Macaca fascicularis: one gene and its partner. The protein of the gene in region 1 interacts with the protein of each later gene in a biochemical or structural test. Links are inferred from orthologs where the notes say so. Each region holds a gene or a part of one and is shown on either strand. Other genes may lie near its edges.

Region 1 (3,653 bases):
TACCCTTTCCCTCCAGTCTCACTTCTTGTCTTCCTCTTTCTTGTCCTTCTTGCCGTCCTTGGTGGCCTGGGAGGCCAGGGAGCCCATAGCATTTCGAATGGCTTCATTGTTGGGATCCACACCTGGGAGGTTCTCTAGGACACTCTGAAGGAACTCGGGGTCCTGCATCACGTCGTAATCATCCTCCTCCTGCAAACAGGCAGTGTGAGCTCAGGGGAGGGTGTGGAGCAGCAGGGAGTAAGCAGGTGTGAAGGACAGGAGCATGCCGCTGCCGGAGCTCCCCTGCCTTCTGACTGTGTGGGGATTCGGGCACCTCTGGCCGAGGTAAGGAAAGGACAAATCAGCAAAATCCTTTCTATGGCATGAATGCAAACAGTTATTACTGACCAAATAGAGGAGGCACCTGTTGAGAACTGTTTTTTTTTTTTTTTTTTTTTGAGACGGAGTCTCGCTCTACCGCCCAGGCTGGAGTGCAGTGGCCGGATCTCAGCTCACTACAAGCTCCGCCTCCCGGGTTTACGCCATTCTCCTGCCTCAGCCTCCCGAGCAGTTGGGACTACAGGCGCCTGCCACCGCGCCCGGCTAGTTTTTTGTATTTTTTTAGTAGAGACGGGGTTTCACCGTGTTAGCCAGGATGGTCTCGATCTCCTGACCTCGTGATCCGCCCGTCTCGGCCTCCCAAAGTGCTGGGACTACAGGCTTGAGCCACCGCGCCCGGCCTGAGAACTCTGTTAATTGAGCTCTGAGGAGAAAAACAGATTCCATCACACTGAGGTTTCCTGCTCTCAAGACACCCAGTTCTCCTTTTTCTTTTTCCCAGACCCTCTTTTCTCCCTCCTGGGTAGACATCCTAGAGAACTGCCCAGGCTGCTCCCACCAGCAAGGAAGGAAAATTACAGAACATGAGGACACTTATCCAACTTTGACCACTAGCATTGCTACCTTAGCAAGGTTTACATGTAAGAAATGCATATCCATGTGTTTCCCTCTGCTCCTCAAAGGACTTAGCTATGGTAGAAATGCTCCCAGCCTCAGAGGGATGAGGATCTAAATTCAAGGACTTTAAACCTGATGCGGGGGCAGGTTTGGGTCTCACCTTGGCTGGCTCAGATGTGTCCATGGCTGAGCTGGCATCAATGTCTGCTGATTCCGCCTGGCCAAACTCTGAGGAAGAGAGGTCACTCTGTTCAGTTACCCTTCTTCATCCCAGCCCTCTGCCTAGGCACCACCCAGGCTCTGGCTCACCTGCTCCCTGCAGGGACATCTGCATGGCATAAGCAATCTGCTCTTCCTCAGTCATACTGCTTAGGTCAGGAAGCCCAGTGCGGCCAAACTCTTGCTGGCTGATGGTCATCTTCAGCAGGGCATCATCTGAGTCTGGGAAAAGGAAAAGAGGAGCAGGGTAGAATTGATGCCATATCCACACAGGCCAGCCTCCAAAGCCATTCCCCTAGCCTGGCCCTCCCACATATTCCTACTCTGTCAGACCTCCACACTCTCCCTGCAGTGCCTATACCCAGCTTTCAATGTTTAGCATCCCACAGTCCCAGGACTTCAGATTCCACCTCTTTCACCTTCAGTCCCAGTCGTAGCAATCCCGGCCTCAGCAGCAGAAGCTGCAGCTGCCCGCCGGGCCTCCTCCTCCTGCCGCTGCCGCTGCTCTTCCATTGATACACGAAGGGCCTGATGAAGAGCAGGGCACAATCAGGGCTCCCCTGCCCTCACTCCTACAGGGAGCTGGGAAAGTTAGTTGGGGTGTAGGAAAGGAACATAAAGGGGCAGCTTCTGGTTTATCACACAGAGAAGCTGGAGGGATAAGCAGTGGTATAGGATTAAAAAGGACTTGGGAGAAGCCTTGGTTTTCATCAGGGGGAGTGAAAAAGAAAGCGTCTGACATTAGTGCTCCTAGAGATCAGACAGAAGTATAGGGAAGAGGGGGCAAAAGGAGGTCTTGGAATATGAGTTACTGGGAGTGTCTAGGACTGTTCAGCCTAGTAGAAGCTCTGTGATGTGTGTGCCAGAAAAGAACAAAAAAGGGCCTTTGGGCTCTACCTGGGGTCAACATTTGCTCACCAAGGCCAGCTCAGGATCAGCACTGGGATCTACTCCAAATTCAAAGTCACTGGCACCAAGACCCAGCATGGCACCACCTTCGCCAGCCAAAATCGGAGAACTGATGAGAGCATCAGCCAAGCTGGGCCCAGGAGGCACTGTCACCAGATGAGAACCGGTTCCATCTTTGCCATTCAACGTGTTTACAAAGGCTGTCAGCTTTTCTGTGTTCACCTCCTGGTGAGGAAAGAACACAGGACGCCCTCCTTCAGGCCTTGCTCCCTGTTCTTTGCCACGTCCATACTACTCTGCTACAGTGCCCACACTCCTCAGGGTTAAGGACCATTCTGTTTATAACCAAATTAAGCCAATGCCCTCCAATCAGTCCCTACTCACCTCTTCCCCAAAATTGATAATGTCAACATTTACTTTCTCCTTCTTGAGGCGTTTAGCCAGTTTCACCAGCTGGGAAGAAGGGGAGAAAAATCAAGAAATTTGTTCCATACTCGAGGGGGGAAAGGACCTGCCGCATAAAAGCATACAGAACTCTATTGACCTCCCCAAGGTCCTACAACAGAAAAACTGAATTCTCCACATTCACCTTTCCCCAAAGTCATGAGCCTGATGCCTCTGCCAGGTTCTCCTGAGGGATGAAAGACCTCAGTCCCAAACACTGGCTGCCCACATTCCCCAGCTGCCACTTGGACTCACATCCTTCTCATTGTCCTCCACCGGGCTTCCCACAAAGGCAATGATGCGCATCTTGTGATTCTTGCCCTGTCGGTGCTTCAGAGCCAGCTTGTAAAGGGAGAGGAAGTTCTCAGAGTCAACCAGAGAAATCACTCAGCTCTTTCCTCTGTCACTCGGTTCCGTTTTCTTACAGTTTCTTTGTACCTCAAGTATACCATCTACCATCACGCTCACACAAGATTTAACACCCCCAATTCCTCCCTTTTTGCTGTGACTCTCTGTGCATAAAGAAGGGAGGTTAATTCTCCTTTTTTTTTTTTTTTTTTTTTTGAGATGGAGTCTCGCTCTGTCACCCAGGCTGGAGTGCAGTGGCACGATCTCGGCTCACTGCAACCTCCACCTCCTGGGTTCCAGCGATTATCCTGCCTCAGCCTCCCGAGTACTGGCCAATTTTTATATTTTTAGTAAAGATGGAGTTTTACCACGTTGGGCAGACTGGTCTCGAACTCCTGACCTCAGGTGACCCTCCCAAAGTGCTGGGATTACAGGTGTGAGCCACCGCACCCAGCCTTTTTTTTTTTTTTTTAAAAAAAAAAAAAAAAAAAAAAAGAGAAACATGGTCTCGCTATGTGCCAGGTCTTAAACTGCTGGCCTTCAGCAATCCTCCTCCTTTGGCCTCCCAAACTGCTGGGATTACAGGCGTGAGCTACCACACCCAACCTTAATTCTCAATTCTAGGGATTTTTCCCCTTACAACCCTCAACTACCCTTGACTCATCCCCCATATCCTTTCTATGCCAAGTTAACTTTCTCTTGCTCTGGTCCTAGCTCAGGAATCCAGGGGAGAAATAAGTATGATGGAGGCAGGACCTCAGAGCAGGGAGAAACAGTCCAGAGAACCCAGTAGGACT
Region 2 (3,526 bases), on another chromosome or scaffold:
TGGTCTCAAACTCCTGAGCTCAAGCTATCCCACCCGCCTTAGCCGCCTCCCAAAGTGCTGGAATTACAGGCGTGAGCCACTGTGCCCGGCCTGCTTTCTGTTTTCAGGCCTTACTAAATACAATAAACAGAGTAGTGTTCTGTCATATACATATCTGTATTCCTGATAAGCCAGCGTAGTATAGTTTCTGGCTCATGGTAGGTACTCAGTAAGTATTCATGGAATAAATAAGAAAGAAGGATTTGGAGTATTAGAATTAATTGTTACATAAGTTAACTTACCTCCGAATTACCAAGTAGGCCTAGGATTGATTGGTCATTTATGTGATTTATGTGGGGTTTTTTTTTTTTTTTTTTTTTTTTAACTTCATTTCTGAAGAAAAGATTTGATGCTGCTGAATTGTCAGAATTAAGAGTATAATTTTGGGCCTGAAACTGAAACTCTTTTCTAAGAATTGACTGTCCAGTGTGCAAGTTAAACTCACATTCATTCAAAGAATCATTGAAACTTTAGAATTTCATACATGAGGATACCGGCTTTTATAAGTTACTCAATTGGTCAGTAGCTATACAAATCATCTAATTCTGAACTATTTGTATATATATATGTGTTCAAATTTTTCTGCACGTACATGATCCTCTAAAATAACGGTTGATGTTTATTAAGCTTCCCCCCCTTCCCCACCAAAGTAGAGTCGTGATCTATTTGACGTGATTAGGTATAAACTAGACTATTTAAAATAAAGTGCTAATGGACTTTTAAATATGTTGGATATGTTTCAAGAGGTGGGCAGTGTTTTTGAAGCTCAGTAGATCAGCATATGTTATAAAAAAGCAATTAAAAAATTTTAAAAGTCAGTCAGGTGTGGCATGGATTGGCTTCCTTTAGAGTTGGATTAATTTTTTTTTTCTTTAATAGCTACAGAATCCAGAAGTCAGATTTCAGCAACAACTGGAACAACTCAGTGCAATGGGATTTTTGAACCGTGAAGCAAACTTGCAAGCTCTAATAGCCACAGGAGGTGATATCAATGCAGCTATTGAAAGGTTACTGGGCTCCCAGCCATCATAGCAGCATTTCTGTATCTTGAAAAAATGTAATTTATTTTTGATAACGGCTCTTAAACTTTAAAATACCCGCTTTATTTCATTTTGACTCTTGGAATTCTGTGCTGTTATAAACAAACCCAATATGATGCATTTTAAGGTGGAGTACAGTAAGATGTGTGGGTTTTTCTGTATTTTTCTTTTCTGGAACAGTGGGAATCAGTGCTTTTCATTTAAGGCTACTGCATGCATCACTTCTGCATTTATTGTAATTTTTTAAAAACATCACCTTTTATAGTTGGGTGACCAGATTTTGTCCTGCATCTGTCCAATTTATTTGCTTTTTAAACATTAGCCTATGGTAGTAATTTATGTAGAATAAAAGCATTAAAAAGAAGCAAATCATTTGCACTCTAATTTGTGGTACAATATTGCTTATTGTGACTTTGGCATGCATTTTTGCAAACAAAATGCTGTAAGATTTATACTACTGATAATTTTGCTTTATTTGTATACATATAGAGTATGCACATTTGGGACTGCATTTCTAGAAACATACTGCAATAGGCTATCTGAGCAAAACACCTGTAACCAAAAAAGTGAAGATAAGAAAATACTCTTAAAGCCGAGTATTTCCTAATTGTATAGAATCTTACAGCATCTTTGACAAACATCTCCCAGCAAAAGTGCCGGTTAGACAGGTTTGTTGAAAATATAGTAGAAAAACTGATTCTGGTTATCTCTTTAAGGACAATTAATTGTACAGACACATAATGTAACATTGTCTCAACATTCATTCACAGATTGACTGTAAATTACCTTAATCTTTGTGCAGACTGAAGGAACACTGTAGTATACCCCAAAGTGCATTTGCCTAGGACTTTTCAGCTTCTCCCATAGGTAGTTTAACAGGCATTAAAATTTGTAATTGAAATGTTGCTTTCACTGAAAAAGTGTCTAAATGTTTCAGTTATTTTTAATCGCCATATAAAAATAGAACTCTCTTTTGGGTTTATCTGTTTTCTCATGCACAGGCAATACACGAATTTAAAATGAGTTGTGAGCCAATTGTTTCTGGAGTGTTTTGGTAGTTCTGTTACGAAATAGTTAAATATTGTGCTTTTCAGAGCCTCAGAAAGGGGGACGGGGTGGGGGGGGCGGGCAGTGGAATCTATCCTGGATGGGGCCAGCTTAAATAATACTGGCAACCAAGATTCTGTTAGGATTTCTGTGCATATAGTATAGTAAAGAAGTATCATTCAGGGGTGAAAAACAAAGAGCCGTTTTAATGATGTTGAGTACATTTGGCTGTTTTATAGCCTTTTTCTTCCCTCCCCAAAGAATTCTGTTTGCCTAACTCCCAAACTGTTGGGGTGGTACATTCCTTTAGGACCAATTAAAACAGAGTTTAGGGTCAGTAATACATTTGGCTGACTCTGGTTCAGTATTCTCTTAGGTGATTATATTCTCTCATGTACAGTTACAGGAAATTAAAATGTTAAAGTAACCTAAAATGAATTCAGACCAATAAAATCAAGGGAAATACAAGTTGATTCCATTACTTCTGTACGTTGCTTGCTATTAAAAAAGGTTAAGAGGCCAGGTTACCCACCAGTCCATGCACTGTTCTGACACTTTCCCCAGGAGGAAAACAAGTACAAAGGTTATGGTGGAGGCATGAGTAGAGATTGTTGAGAAGGGTATTCATGTGTCTTTGCTCTTTCTGCTTGATGCCTCAGTCTGGTTTAAAAACTTCTGTACTGGCGAATGTGGTATTCAGTGTGGGATAGTGTCATAACTAATTTGACAATTTATTAATCACAAAATAACAATAAATCTCTAGCTTTTACATTTGATTTGTCTTGCCTCTTTTGTAGAAAGAAAAACAAATGTCTATAACTTTTGCTAACCATGTGTTTTAAAGGCTATTGAAGTTGATTTACCCCAGATTTTGTCACATTTTACATTCTTTATTTTTCAGGTTTTCCAATTAAAATGTCACATGGTCTTTTGTGGTGTGATAAAAAGATAGCACACTGGGAAGGTAGGTGACTTGAGCTCCACTTTTGATCTTGGTACTTGACTAGTTATGTGACATTGAGGCGTCATGATTTCTTTATTATACGTGTACTGGTGAGGCTTATAGGTGCACTGGACTGGGCGAGAAGCTCTGAAGTACCTTCAAGCAGCTGCAGTGGTATGGTTTTCATTTTTAATATGTTTACCTTTAGGTCTAAGTCTAAAGATAAATATCTACATCTTAAGGGGTTCAAAATACTTAAAATTCTTATCAGCACTAAAAGGATGTTTAAAATACTGTAGGCTTAAACTGTTCTCATATTGAGTGATAATATTTAGTACAAATTGAATAAAGAATGGAGTAGTGAAGGTGTCATTTCAGGATTTTATTTCCTAATTATACTATTTGTGATATCGTAAACAAAGTGTAGCAAGTACTGAAAAATCAGATGAATGACACC

The links.
Region 2: the proteins of PSMD4 (region 1) and UBQLN1 form a complex in vitro, tested with the Homo sapiens proteins (6 studies listed by BioGRID and IntAct, with this or other methods). The link is inferred for Macaca fascicularis from reciprocal best matches to the Homo sapiens genes PSMD4 and UBQLN1.

Annotation. Positions count from the first base shown.
Region 1 is NC_088375.1:109,952,357-109,956,009, forward strand, and holds part of PSMD4 (26S proteasome non-ATPase regulatory subunit 4), read right to left. Parts: intron 2,851-3,653; coding exon 2,764-2,850; intron 2,518-2,763; coding exon 2,449-2,517; intron 2,290-2,448; coding exon 2,074-2,289; intron 1,684-2,073; coding exon 1,566-1,683; intron 1,378-1,565; coding exon 1,246-1,377; intron 1,165-1,245; coding exon 1,097-1,164; intron 190-1,096; coding exon 19-189; 3' UTR 1-18. UniProt on the Homo sapiens protein: Component of the 26S proteasome, a multiprotein complex involved in the ATP-dependent degradation of ubiquitinated proteins.
Region 2 is NC_088389.1:114,273,152-114,276,677, reverse strand, and holds the end of UBQLN1 (ubiquilin-1), read left to right. Parts: intron 1-918; coding exon 919-1,071; 3' UTR 1,072-2,897; downstream 2,898-3,526. UniProt on the Homo sapiens protein: Plays an important role in the regulation of different protein degradation mechanisms and pathways including ubiquitin-proteasome system (UPS), autophagy and endoplasmic reticulum-associated protein degradation (ERAD) pathway.